Linked DNA regions of Yarrowia lipolytica. The protein of the gene in region 1 binds, or shares a complex with, the protein of each later gene. Links are inferred from orthologs where the notes say so. Each region holds a gene or a part of one and is shown in the gene's direction. Other genes may lie near its edges.

Region 1 (7,001 bases):
GTGAACGGGTTCTACAGTACTATGTGTCCCACAGGCAAACATGCACGGAGTTTTCATTTCCACGATCCACGATTTTGTGTGCTCCAAATGACCCGATTTAGTTGTCGATTTAGTTGAACAGTTACTTAGGAAACTTTGGTTAAGAAAAAAACATGTTGAAAAACATCAAAACTTTTCCAAAGTTGAGAAATCGAAAAAAGATACAACTGCCCATTTCCTCCCTTATTCAGCCATCTATTTTCCGGTTCCATATCTCCATCCTTTCTTCTCAGTAAGTTCCTCCCTCACCTCTCTGACGCACTCCCGACGCGTTAAATAAAATAAAGAACGCCATTACGCGTAAACAATTTAACCACTACCACCACCACAATGACTGTCGACACGCCATTTGAAGAGTTTATGCCGCCTTCTGTGCCCCAAAAGAAAACTCACACAACTCACACGCACTACAGTAACGTTCCTCATGGTGTTTCACGTGACCCCCATAAACCGTGCATTCTTGGAGTTGATGAAGCCGGACGAGGACCGGTACTGGGATCCATGGTCTACGGCCTTGCCTACTGTACCAAGGAGTTTGCCGACGAGGAGCTATCGAAAACGGGGTTCGCCGACTCCAAGACTTTGACGGCCGAAAAACGAAGCGCTCTGATGCGCGAAATCTGCTGTGATGAGACTCTGGTTGAGCATCTGGGGTGGTGCACTACGTCTATGACTGCTCAGGACATTTCGTCGGCCATGTTGCGACCCATGTCTCGTGGTGTGTACAACCTGAACGACCAGGCACACGATACAACTATGGCTTTGATCCAGGGTGTGCTGGATCGAGGTGTTCTTCTGACAGAGGCGTACATTGATACAGTGGGACCCCCCGCCAGTTACACGGCCAAGCTGAGCAAGCAGTTCCCCCACATCAAGTTCACTGTCACCAAGAAGGCCGACTCGCTGTTCCCCATTGTTTCTGCGGCCTCCATTTGTGCCAAAGTGACCCGTGACATGGATCTCAAGTCGCAAGATCTCAGTGAGGGCACATGGGGCTCGGGGTACCCATCTGACCCCAAAACGTCTGTCTGGCTCAAGAGTCACGTGGACCAGGTGTTTGGATGGATGCCTGTGGTGCGGTTCTCCTGGCAGACAGCCAAGGATCTGGTAGAGAAGGAAGAAAAGGGAGGTGTGGAATGTGTTTGGGCCGATGATCTCAAGAGAGACTCAAAGAGCGTAGAGGCGTACTTTCGAGCTGCTGCAAAAGACAAGACAAAGAGTAAGCTGGTGGTGAGTAGTGAGTGGTATGGAATGAGTGTCGGAAGCGATGTCTTTTAATGTTCGGATGAAACGAAGCAGACTGTCCGAACCCAGCAGACTCAAAGGCATGAACGGGTACTCGCTTCAATGCAAGAGGCCCGTTCTGAGGTCTCACCAACCAGCATTACTGGACTGCCGTCCAAGAACACAATGTGAACTGCTGCATATCTTTCAAGACGATAAATTATCGAGAATCAATCATCAGATACTGTACCGGCATCATAGAAGAAGAAAGGAAAGCCTGTAATTGTAGTGTGTGAAATGACCTGGAGATGTGTTTGTCAATTGTAGCTGCTACTGTCCCTACATGGGTCGCAGCAAAAACCAACAGTAGAAAGATCGGGGCTACTCTCATTTCTGTGGAATGTCATTTCGTCGTTCCGGATGCTCTTTTGACTGCTGGTTGTAATGTGCTGCAATTTCAACTGGATTTCACTCTGTGTATGGCATCTACAAGTACATACTCTGGATCATGGAATTCAATTGCATGTTTGGCGGTAGCAATGGATAGTCCTGGTTCTGCTGGTTTCAGAAATGTACTTTTTCCACCTATATCATCCAATTTTGCGCCTCTTATTCCCTTTCTCACCCTGCCTCGCTATGGACCATAACATCCCCCACCTTCCCGTTCTCTTTCCCACATAATCTGCACATGTTCCAGTTCTCTCCCAGTTCTCTCCCAGTTTTGTATCAGATTCACTTGGTCACATCCATCCTCTCATCCCTCCACGTCAACGGCCCAACACTCAACCAATCCTGGACGTCTTGCTATGATTGGGTCAAAATCACTGTCCCAAATCGCTTACTTTCAAACCCCGAGGCGCTTCACCAAAAGTGCTTCACTCCCAAATCGACTGCCTCACATCAGCAGCAACGAAATCGGTCCGTGTCGGCCTACCGCAATAATACCAGCATCTCCTGCCTGCAACCCACCCACTTGTCAGCTGCTTTGTTCAACATGCACTTTCTCCTTGTACGTAGACGTATGTACTGTATGTATGTGCGGTACCAGAGTACATACTGTACTCAGCCGTAGTTGAGTTTTGTCACACGAACTAAACCAATACGCCCCCGGCCACAGTTGGTGCGGCACGTGACTCGCTCTTTCTCTCTCTCGGAACATGCCGGTTCTACGTCTACTGGTAACCCCCCACTCCCACTTCCACTCCTACCTACCCCCCACTGAAGGCTTAAAAAAAAAGGTGGTTAATTTTTGGTTTGTCAAAAAAATCCTCGACCATGGAATTAAGGTTTGGAGCTAGTGGGCTTTGGGGGCTTTGTTAGGAGGCTGTCTGGGGTGACATTGGGCGGGTCTGCGGGGCGAATAGGGATGCCAAAAGACGGGTTGTAGTGGAATTGACCCCGTCCAAGGTCTGATGACCACTCATCTCTTCTGCCGGTCGCAGATTTATGTCCACTCGTCGCGGTTGCTGCACTAGTTTATCCGAAATATGCAAACTTTTTCCGGTGCGGAGAGTGCTCCGTGTGTTGGGACTTTGGAGGAGCTACGGCGAACCCAACATTATTTCGCTCATCTCGGATTATCCCACGTCTGATTCTCACTTCAACGCAACGCCACGCAACGACTCTTGAGAAAACATGTCTGCCCGATTTCTTGCAACTCGATTGGTTCGAGTGAGGTGAGTATGGTGAAGAGCCAGAGGCACGGATGGAGTAGCGAGCGGACCCCGACAATGGGTTGCTGACGTCCTCCAAGACCAGTGCAATGGTGATGCGAAACCGACTGTCGTGTGTTTTGTGTGGTGTGGTGGGAGGGTGCTTGTGATTGTGTTTGTGTTTACAGTGGCGTGGCAGTGATAGAATGGTCCGCACAACTGCTAAACCAGGCTGGTCAGATGAGCGGGCTCCATGGACTCGCCCTTGCCTCGTCACCAGTACTGGTAGTACGGACATGCACCGATCATCATCGGAGAAGCGTGAAAAACGAGGAGACGCCAACGATAAGAGCCTTTCAACGAATCCTCTTGTCTGTTCCCCCGATGACTCCTTTTGATAGGTGTGTCTCCATGTCATTTTCTCATTGCTGTGCTTAACTCCGGTGGTGCCTCAACACTCCAACAGCCACAATGATCACAGATGCAATTGACCCGGAACGGGTGAGGGGAATAACGTGATGATTCAAGAAAGTATACCGCAAAGTCCGATTGTCGAGTTTGACAACTAAATTCCATGGCCGAGCTCGGTGGTGTTCTTTGTTATTGCCACCATACAATCATTTATCATTTGCAAGCTACACCCAGCAACAGTTACCCACGCACTGGTTACTCTATCAAAGCGTCACTTGCACCTCTGAGATCCGCCGTGAACGACATTGTCGCTTCCCACCCAAAAATTCGTTGTATCACACCTGCACATCCCACACCTACAGAGGACAGCAGTTAGGCAACCCAGCTCAAGGCAACACAAGTACAAAGTCCATGGAATGGTCGTGTTGATAGTGATGTTGTCGCCTCGAGTCAGTTACGCAATTGCTATTTGTGTGGCTCCCTCAAACAGAGCACTGTTGTACACTTTTGGAATCCGCCGGTGGCTACCTGGTCCACCGGCACGTTCAGTCACTTGTTTGTGTTTGCTCAATCCTTTCGCTCCAGCGCTAACCCAGACCAACATTCTCTTCCTTCTCTCTCCCCACCCTCACCCGATGCTACGCCGCCAAGTCCTGGCCTAGCCACACAGTCATCGACATGCCCGCCCTGTCCCCTACCATGACCCAGGGTAACATTGGCGCCTGGCAAAAGTCTGTCGGCGACGCTCTTGCTCCCGGCGAGGTTCTCGTCGAGATTGAGACTGACAAGGCCCAGATGGACTTTGAGTTCCAGGATGATGGCTACCTGGCCAAGATTCTGCTCGACGCCGGAGCCAAGGACATTGCCGTTGGCACCCCCATTGGTGTCTACGTCGAGGACGAGGCCGACGTGGCTGCCTTCAAGGACTTCACCATTGACGACGCCGGAGGAGTCCCCAAGCCTCCCAAGACCGAGGAGCAGAAGGAAGAGGAGGAATACGAGGCCGAGAAGGCCGAGAAGGCCGAGAAGGAGGCCGAGGCTTCCAAGGAGACTGCTTCTCCCGCCCCCTCTTCTCAGTCCTCTGCCCCTGCTGCCCCCACTCCCCCCTCTTCTCGAATCTTTGCTTCTCCCATGGCCAAGACCATTGCTCTGGAGAAGGGCATCAAGCTTAGCGAGATCAAGGGCTCCGGTCCCGGTGGTCGAATCATCAAGCGAGACGTCGAGAACTGGACCCCTCCCGCCGCTCCCGCCGCCAAGGCTGCCCCTGCCAAGGGCGCTGCCCCTGCTGCTGCCGCTGCTGCTGGATCTGCTTACACCGACATTCCTCTCACCAACATGCGAAAGACAATTGCTTCTCGACTGACCCAGTCCAAGAACACATCTCCCGACTACATTGTGTCTTCCACCGTGTCTGTGTCCAAGCTGCTCAAGCTGCGAGCTGCTCTCAACGCCTCCTCCGATGGTACCTACAAGCTGTCCATCAACGATCTGCTTGTCAAGGCCCTGGCCGTGGCCAACACCAAGGTCCCCCAGGTCAACTCCCAGTGGCTCGAGTCTGAGGGTGTTATTCGACAGTTCACCAACGTGGACGTTTCTGTCGCCGTTGCCACCCCCACTGGTCTGATCACCCCTGTGGTCAAGAACGCCAACCTCAAGGGTCTGGCGGAAATCTCCAAGGAGATTAAGGCTCTGGGCAAGAAGGCCAAGGACGGCAAGCTGGCTCCCGAAGAGTACCAGGGCGGTACCGTGACCATTTCCAACCTGGGCATGAACCACGCCGTGTCCTTCTTCACTGCCATCATCAACCCTCCCCAGGCCGCCATTCTCGCTGTCGGCACCACCGAGCGAAAGGCCATTGAGGACGTTGACTCCGAGGCCGGCTTTGTCTTTGACGACGTTGTTACTCTGACCACCTCTTTCGACCACCGAGTCGTCGATGGAGCTGTTGGAGGCGAGTGGGTCAAGGCTCTCAAGCAGGTGGTTGAAAACCCCATTGAGATGTTGTTGTAGGATGATTAATAGATTGTAATTAGCAGAATGTGAACTCTGTGCGAGAAGTAGTCGCTAGTGTGACCGTTTAAACCAGTCAGTAGTACGACTGTATTGGCAAACTGATATCGACATTCCCGGCCCTGTAATCCATTGCCTTCGATTTGAGTTGTTTCATAGTTAGGTCTAAAGTCAAAACAAAATCCAAGTCATTTTGAGAATATAAAAATTTTAAAAGCTCATAGAAAAGGACATTTCCTGTCGCCCAAGTGTTTTCAAGCTTATGGGATTGAATGAGAATTCTCTGCTCTTTACTTTATCAGTATTTTCTTTCTTCCGACCTTCTTGGGGCACCTTTTCTAACTCCCAGGTTACCTTTCTTTCAAGTAATCTTCAAGTAATTGGACCTTCTTAATGACATACAGTACCGTCTAGAGCATGGGAAATCGTGCCAGTTTTCACGCCAATCACGCTCAATCATCCTCTTTGCCGGTTCAGTTGAAAGCTCCATCAATGTGGAGTTACAGGTATAATTGGCATGCTACAAATAATCCACCAACATCTGTATTTGAGACATTACCATGTATACTCACGTGTACATAATGTACTGGTGGTAAACAGCCATAAAATTTGGTTCCATGAGTCAGCTCATATTTCCTGCTACATCTGATGGTGTGGTTACTCTGTCGGGAAGACAAGCACACCAATCGATACTGGAGCTCAGTGCGGTCATTCTGATCTCCAATACATGTCCACATTCATTCTCTCGTGTTTTACAAAGTGGAACCATCCCTTCCAAGACCACCTCCCATCTCACATGCACTGTTCACGCGAAATATTTTGGGTGCAGGTGTGCTTGTATGGTGTCATGTTAGTGTGGGGAAGTCCATCAAAGCAGGAAATTGCAATTTAGAAAAATGGAAAAAACCGCTAAAAGTGTCTATAAATCACTCTGTTGACTCACGTGTTTTTTTCCGATTTCTCTGCCCATCTTCGCACACCCCAATCACGTTCATGCAAAGTCCACCGTGTCTAGTGTGCGCCATGATAAACTTTGGTTCGAGGCTACAGTAGCTACAACTATTACGCCAACACGTCACCACCATGGAACTATTCGAACAATTCGAGGAACAGGACGGCGTGCGGTTCAACTGGAACGTGTTCCCGTCGACGTCACGTGACGCCAAAGATGTCGTGCTGCCCATTTCGTGCGTGTACAACCCTCGACACAAGGCCCAGACGGTGCCGGTGGTGCAAGACACCATTGCCATCTGTGGCAACAAGGATTGTGGTTCGATCCTCAATCCCTACTGTCATGTGGACCTGGCCAGCCAGACGTGGACCTGCCGGTTGTGCATGTCTCGAAACCGGCTCATGAGCTCGGTGGCGGGTCAACTTCCCCCTGCATGTGATCCGGCCAACTCGACCGTGGAGTACAACACTGCTCGCACCGCAGCAACTCCTCCGGCGTTCCTGTTTGTGCTCGATACCAACGCCGAGCCCGAGGAACTCGAATCGCTCAAAGATTCGCTGACCCAGGTCATTGATCAGCTCCCTGAACACTGCATTGTGGGTCTCTTGTCGTTCGGATCGTCGGTGCAGTTCTACCAGCTGGGCTACCCCCACTGTCTCCGGTCGCTCGTGTTCAACGGAGCCAAGAGCTATGCAGCCAAGGAGATTGAAGAA
Region 2 (4,484 bases), on another chromosome or scaffold:
CTGGGCTTGCAGGTGTAATTGAGACAGTATTTTCGGAGATCCGTGAGTGTGTACTTGAAAGGTAAGCGGAGTATCAGATCTCTTGTGCGAGTACAAGTACTTGTACTAGAAAAAGGCCAAATCTGGCACAATAAAACAAGTACAAATACCCGCATTTCAATGTCTATACGGTTAAAATCTCCCCCCTGAAGAATTCCGCGGAGTTTTTCAACTCTGAGAAGGGTATATGATCCTAAAGTAGCACTCTTAACTTGGGGAAGCAACTTGAACAAGTACAAGTACAAGCAGAGTGTCAAATATGGAATAAAAGATCACAGCCTTCAATAACTGTCTATCATAATTCGTTTTGGTGAAGCCACAATGTTCGTATTAGCCACCGGGTTCCAATATACGCTTCCTTTGTTTGGAAGGCTGGCAGTCACTCTCACTTTCTTGTCAAACTCGTAGAATAAAGGCAGGGGAAAAGTAGTCATCTCGAGGGATCCAATCATATTCGATTCCAGAAGTTTTTCGAGTTCCCCTTTGAGAAAAATGTTCTTCATGGCCCTTCCATCATCTTGTAGGACACTGGACAATACGAGAATCTGCCCTCAGGGATCCAGTAGGAAGGTATGCCAAAGGAAATGTAAGACAATTGGGTGACCTGGCTCTAATTATAATGGTATATTCCAAAGCTGAACTTCTGGATAGAGTACTACAGAGAGTGTTGTCGTTAATTGTGCTTGTGTCGATTTGAGCTACAAGTAGATGTCCTTCGTGTGATTGTTGTGGAGCTCGCATTGAGATGGGGGGTTCTCGATTTGGTAGATAATACGATATCAAGTTGTATTAAATAGTATTCAGGACTACAATGAGTTTTTGCGGTCACTCAAGTGGAGTGTCAAACTTCAGCAATGTTGGATAGGGAAGTGAAGATCAGGAATACTTGTAGTCCTCGTTATTGATATGGGAGGGATACTTGAGGAGAAAAATTGGGCAATGATTCTCAGTTTGTACTGCCAGTGCTTGTATTAGTCCGATAAACAGTGAATATAGTGTTATATATGATGCTCACACTAAGGACCGACCCAAAGTCCACATCTTGAGGCATTCGGCAGTAGCAAGGGTAGACATAATAGTATCATTTAATCAGCTTGCGATTTCGAATTGGTTTCTTGTATCATTTACCTCGAATTTTCGAAATAAAAGTGTCAGAGACAAGCGCTGTCGTTTCTCAGGGGCTATACATAGACATACTACCAGTACGTATGTCGGGAAGTCCCACAAGTGTGAATCAATTCCAGGCTACATAGGCCGATTTGGTGAGTTGATTCAACAAGCCTGATCTTTCCAAGCAACTCTTTAGCGGCAAAATCGTCGTTATTCTGCCGCAAGTTTTTCTTTTTTTTTTTTTTTTTTTTTTTTTTTTTTTCAAAACTTTTCAAATTTTTATTTTTTCATATTGAGCAGTTGTCACACGCATGTAGATGTCACACAGCATGCACCAGTAACAGTGGAAGAACCTTGTAGCTACTCATTGGTCCACAGCTTCTTTGTTAAGTCTGTTCTATCATACTTGATCTTCTCCTTTGATCGGTGGTCCAGCTTGCTAATTTCTTCAATTCTTCAAGTCTCATTTTTTTAATTTTTTTTATAATAAATCATCAAATAAATCTCTTTCGACCCCCACTCCCAACAAGATGCTAGACCGGAAAATTAGTCGAGGGTTAGGGTGCGTTGTTTTTCCGTCCCAACAGAATGTCGAGACCAACGTCAGTTGTCCGAACGTAATAACGACACCTTTGAGGCACACAATGAACCGACTGTTGAGAGTTATTCCCCGGGCCCGACGTGAGTATTGCTGGCAGCGACGAGTCACATACAGATGGATGTTTTCCACATCGTGACTGCCGTTCAATTGCTCCCCTTGAGTGCATTATTAGTGACATGTGTGATGCTGGGCGGGAGTCGAAGAAGGAGACACAGAAGGAGGAGACGGAGATACAGAGTAGATTGTGGTTCACGTGGCCGTGTGATTGCGAGCAGGCCGTCTCGTTTCCAACAGCTTTCGTTTCTCTACTACACTGTTGCCATTTGTTGCTATTCGTTGCATACAGTACGCAGATATTGGACACTGAAGGAGATCAGCAATGCAGAATGGAGATGGGTGAGGACAAGAGAAAAGGGAGTGCGTTAGATGAGGTTGATTGATCGGTTTGGTTTGTTGTGGTGATTTTTGATTCTCTTGTCGGCAAGTGCATCTTCTTGGGGTTATGGGTATCCACATTCAATATCTGACGGGTTGAGTCTACATTGAGACATCTATGATGGTTGATACAGATGGTGTTATTATGAGGGTGATTTGAGGGTTGACATTTTGTGCCAGTGAATATCGACCGTTGCACAGGTTCCGTGTTTCTCGATGTCGTCACTCTCCGATCTGATCTCTGATCCACCCCTGATGACTTCCACTAATATGGAACAAATTACACCCATTCCACTTCTGTCCTCTTGTGAAATACTTGCAATTGAGTGGTACAAGTGACATTACTCTGCTCTCTTCGGTTTTTTCTTCTGGCTCTTGAATTTCGGCATTTAATCATATCTGAGACGCTGAACCGGGACTTTGCTGTGTGTTAAACTGTGAGGTTTACACATGCTATTATCCTTTCCTGACCTAGCTGCGGCTAGTCGTTTCCGTGTATTGGTTCCGTTGTTGTCCGATCGGACCCACAGCCGTCATTTTACTAACCCAGTGCTCCACACCACCCCTCGCCTCTATCAGGCCAGCAACTTTGCCATGCCAGCCATGAGTCCCACCATGACCGAGGGAGGCATTGTGTCGTGGAAGGTCAAGGAGGGCGACGAGTTTTCAGCTGGTGATGTCATCCTTGAGATCGAAACCGACAAGGCCCAGATCGACGTCGAGGCTGCTGACGATGGAGTCATGGCCAAGATCTACAAGAAGGACGGTGACAAGGACATTCAGGTCGGAGACACCATTGCTGTGATTGCTGAGCCCGGAGATGACATCAAAACCATTGATATTCCTGCTCCTGTCGAGTCGGACGGCAAGCCTGCTCCCAAGGAGGAGGCCAAGGAGGAGGTCAAGGAGGCCCCTAAGGAGGAGGCTAAGGCCCCTGCCCCTAAGGCTCCTTCTACCCCCAAGGAGGCTCCCAAGACCGAATCGTCTTCTGCTCCCTCATCATCCGGCTACTCTGCCCCCGCTAACCCCGCACAGACCCTTCTCCCTTCGGTGTCCTCGCTTCTTGTGGCCAATGGCATCTCCAAGGAGGACGCCTTTGCCAAGATCAAGGCCACCGGTCCCCACGGCCGGCTTCTCAAGGGCGACATTCTCGCCTACCTCGGAAAGGTCCCTGAGGGCTCTCCTGGCGCTGTTGCCGACGAGATTAACAAGCGATCCCATCTCGACTTGTCCAACATCAAGCCCGCCAAGAAGAGCGATGCTGCTGCTCCCACTGGGGCTGCCAAGGCTGGAGATGCTGCTGCTCCTGCTACCAAGGCTGCTCCCGAGCCTGTCATCTTCACCTCGTTCCTCGATGTGGCCCACTTTGAGCCCGAGGACCAGCTCGAGCTGCAGCGAATCGTCAAGCAGGCCATCAAGCTGGCCAAATACGACGCCGTGGAGCTCGCAAAGCCCCGCCGATCCGCCAACGTGGACCCCGACTTTGAGGCTATCATCGGCCCCGCCAAGGGCACCAAGTTCTACGACGTGAACGTCATCTACCCCAAGTCCACAAAGCGGGCTCTCTCCAATGGGGCCGACCTGTATGACATTCTGTCGGACCGAAAGCCCCGAAAGGCTGCTGTCCAGGTGCCTTCCAACACTGTGCAGGTCGATGTAACAGTCAACGACAAGGTCCCCGGTGCCGAGAAGCGAGCCAAGCTTTTCTTGAACAGACTGGAGTATCATTTGACTGTGGAGGAGTAGGAGAGACAATGTCGAGCATAAGATGATACAGCACATAGAGTGTGCTATACAGTATAACGAAGGATATATATAGGTAGGGTAAACATGTGAATGGTGGTGAAGAGCATTTGCTAAGGGGTGCTCTTATTGTAGCGTTCCTTGATGGTATGACTGTAACTCAGTAATTCAGGTCAACTACATATGTACAGTATGTATGTAGTATTGTTCTTACATGATACATTCGTAGTAAGGGTATTCGTTTTCAATTTTACAGAGCATTCCCTTAGCTCGTGCTACAAGTGCGTTGGGTAAGGATGATTTGCTACGCCTCATGATCTTCGCTCCCCTCGTGCTCTTCGGTTAATCAGTTACTATATACACAACAAGATTATTGCTTCTTCTTGTTCTTCAACTTCTGCTTATGCTTCTGTTGCCAGGTCAACTTTGTCTGGGGCTCTTCAAGCGCCTTCTTTTTGTCCTCCTTTCGCTTCTCCTTAATGTCCTCCACAAGCCCGACGGTGTTAGCCTTGAGGGTGTTGAAGTCGCGCTCAAAGCCGCGCTTGTACTCGTTGAT

Evidence for each region. The genes of interacting proteins can lie anywhere in the genome.
Region 2: the proteins of YALI1_D30618g (region 1) and YALI1_B13179g are in contact, whole or in part, in a cryo-EM structure (PDB 8OHS), measured with the Neurospora crassa proteins. The link is inferred for Yarrowia lipolytica from reciprocal best matches to the Saccharomyces cerevisiae genes LAT1 and PDX1. Residues at the interface, in XP_962786.1 of Neurospora crassa: Lys263, Lys266, Leu267, Gln269, Ala270, Pro453, Leu454; in XP_956161.2 of Neurospora crassa: Leu323, Gln326, Val327, Leu328, Lys332.

Annotation. Positions count from the first base shown.
Region 1 is NC_090773.1:3,058,892-3,065,892, forward strand, and holds YALI1_D30618g (uncharacterized protein), read left to right. Parts: upstream 1-2,898; coding exon 2,899-2,939; intron 2,940-3,922; coding exon 3,923-5,336; downstream 5,337-7,001. Other genes in the region: YALI1_D30593g (uncharacterized protein), read left to right, coding at 370-1,317; YALI1_D30653g (uncharacterized protein), read left to right, coding at 6,420-7,001. UniProt on the Saccharomyces cerevisiae protein: The pyruvate dehydrogenase complex catalyzes the overall conversion of pyruvate to acetyl-CoA and CO(2).
Region 2 is NC_090771.1:1,316,104-1,320,587, reverse strand, and holds YALI1_B13179g (uncharacterized protein), read left to right. Parts: upstream 1-2,635; coding exon 2,636-3,931; downstream 3,932-4,484. Other genes in the region: YALI1_B13150g (uncharacterized protein), read right to left, coding at 4,299-4,484. UniProt on the Saccharomyces cerevisiae protein: Required for anchoring dihydrolipoamide dehydrogenase (E3) to the dihydrolipoamide transacetylase (E2) core of the pyruvate dehydrogenase complexes of eukaryotes. This specific binding is essential for a functional PDH complex.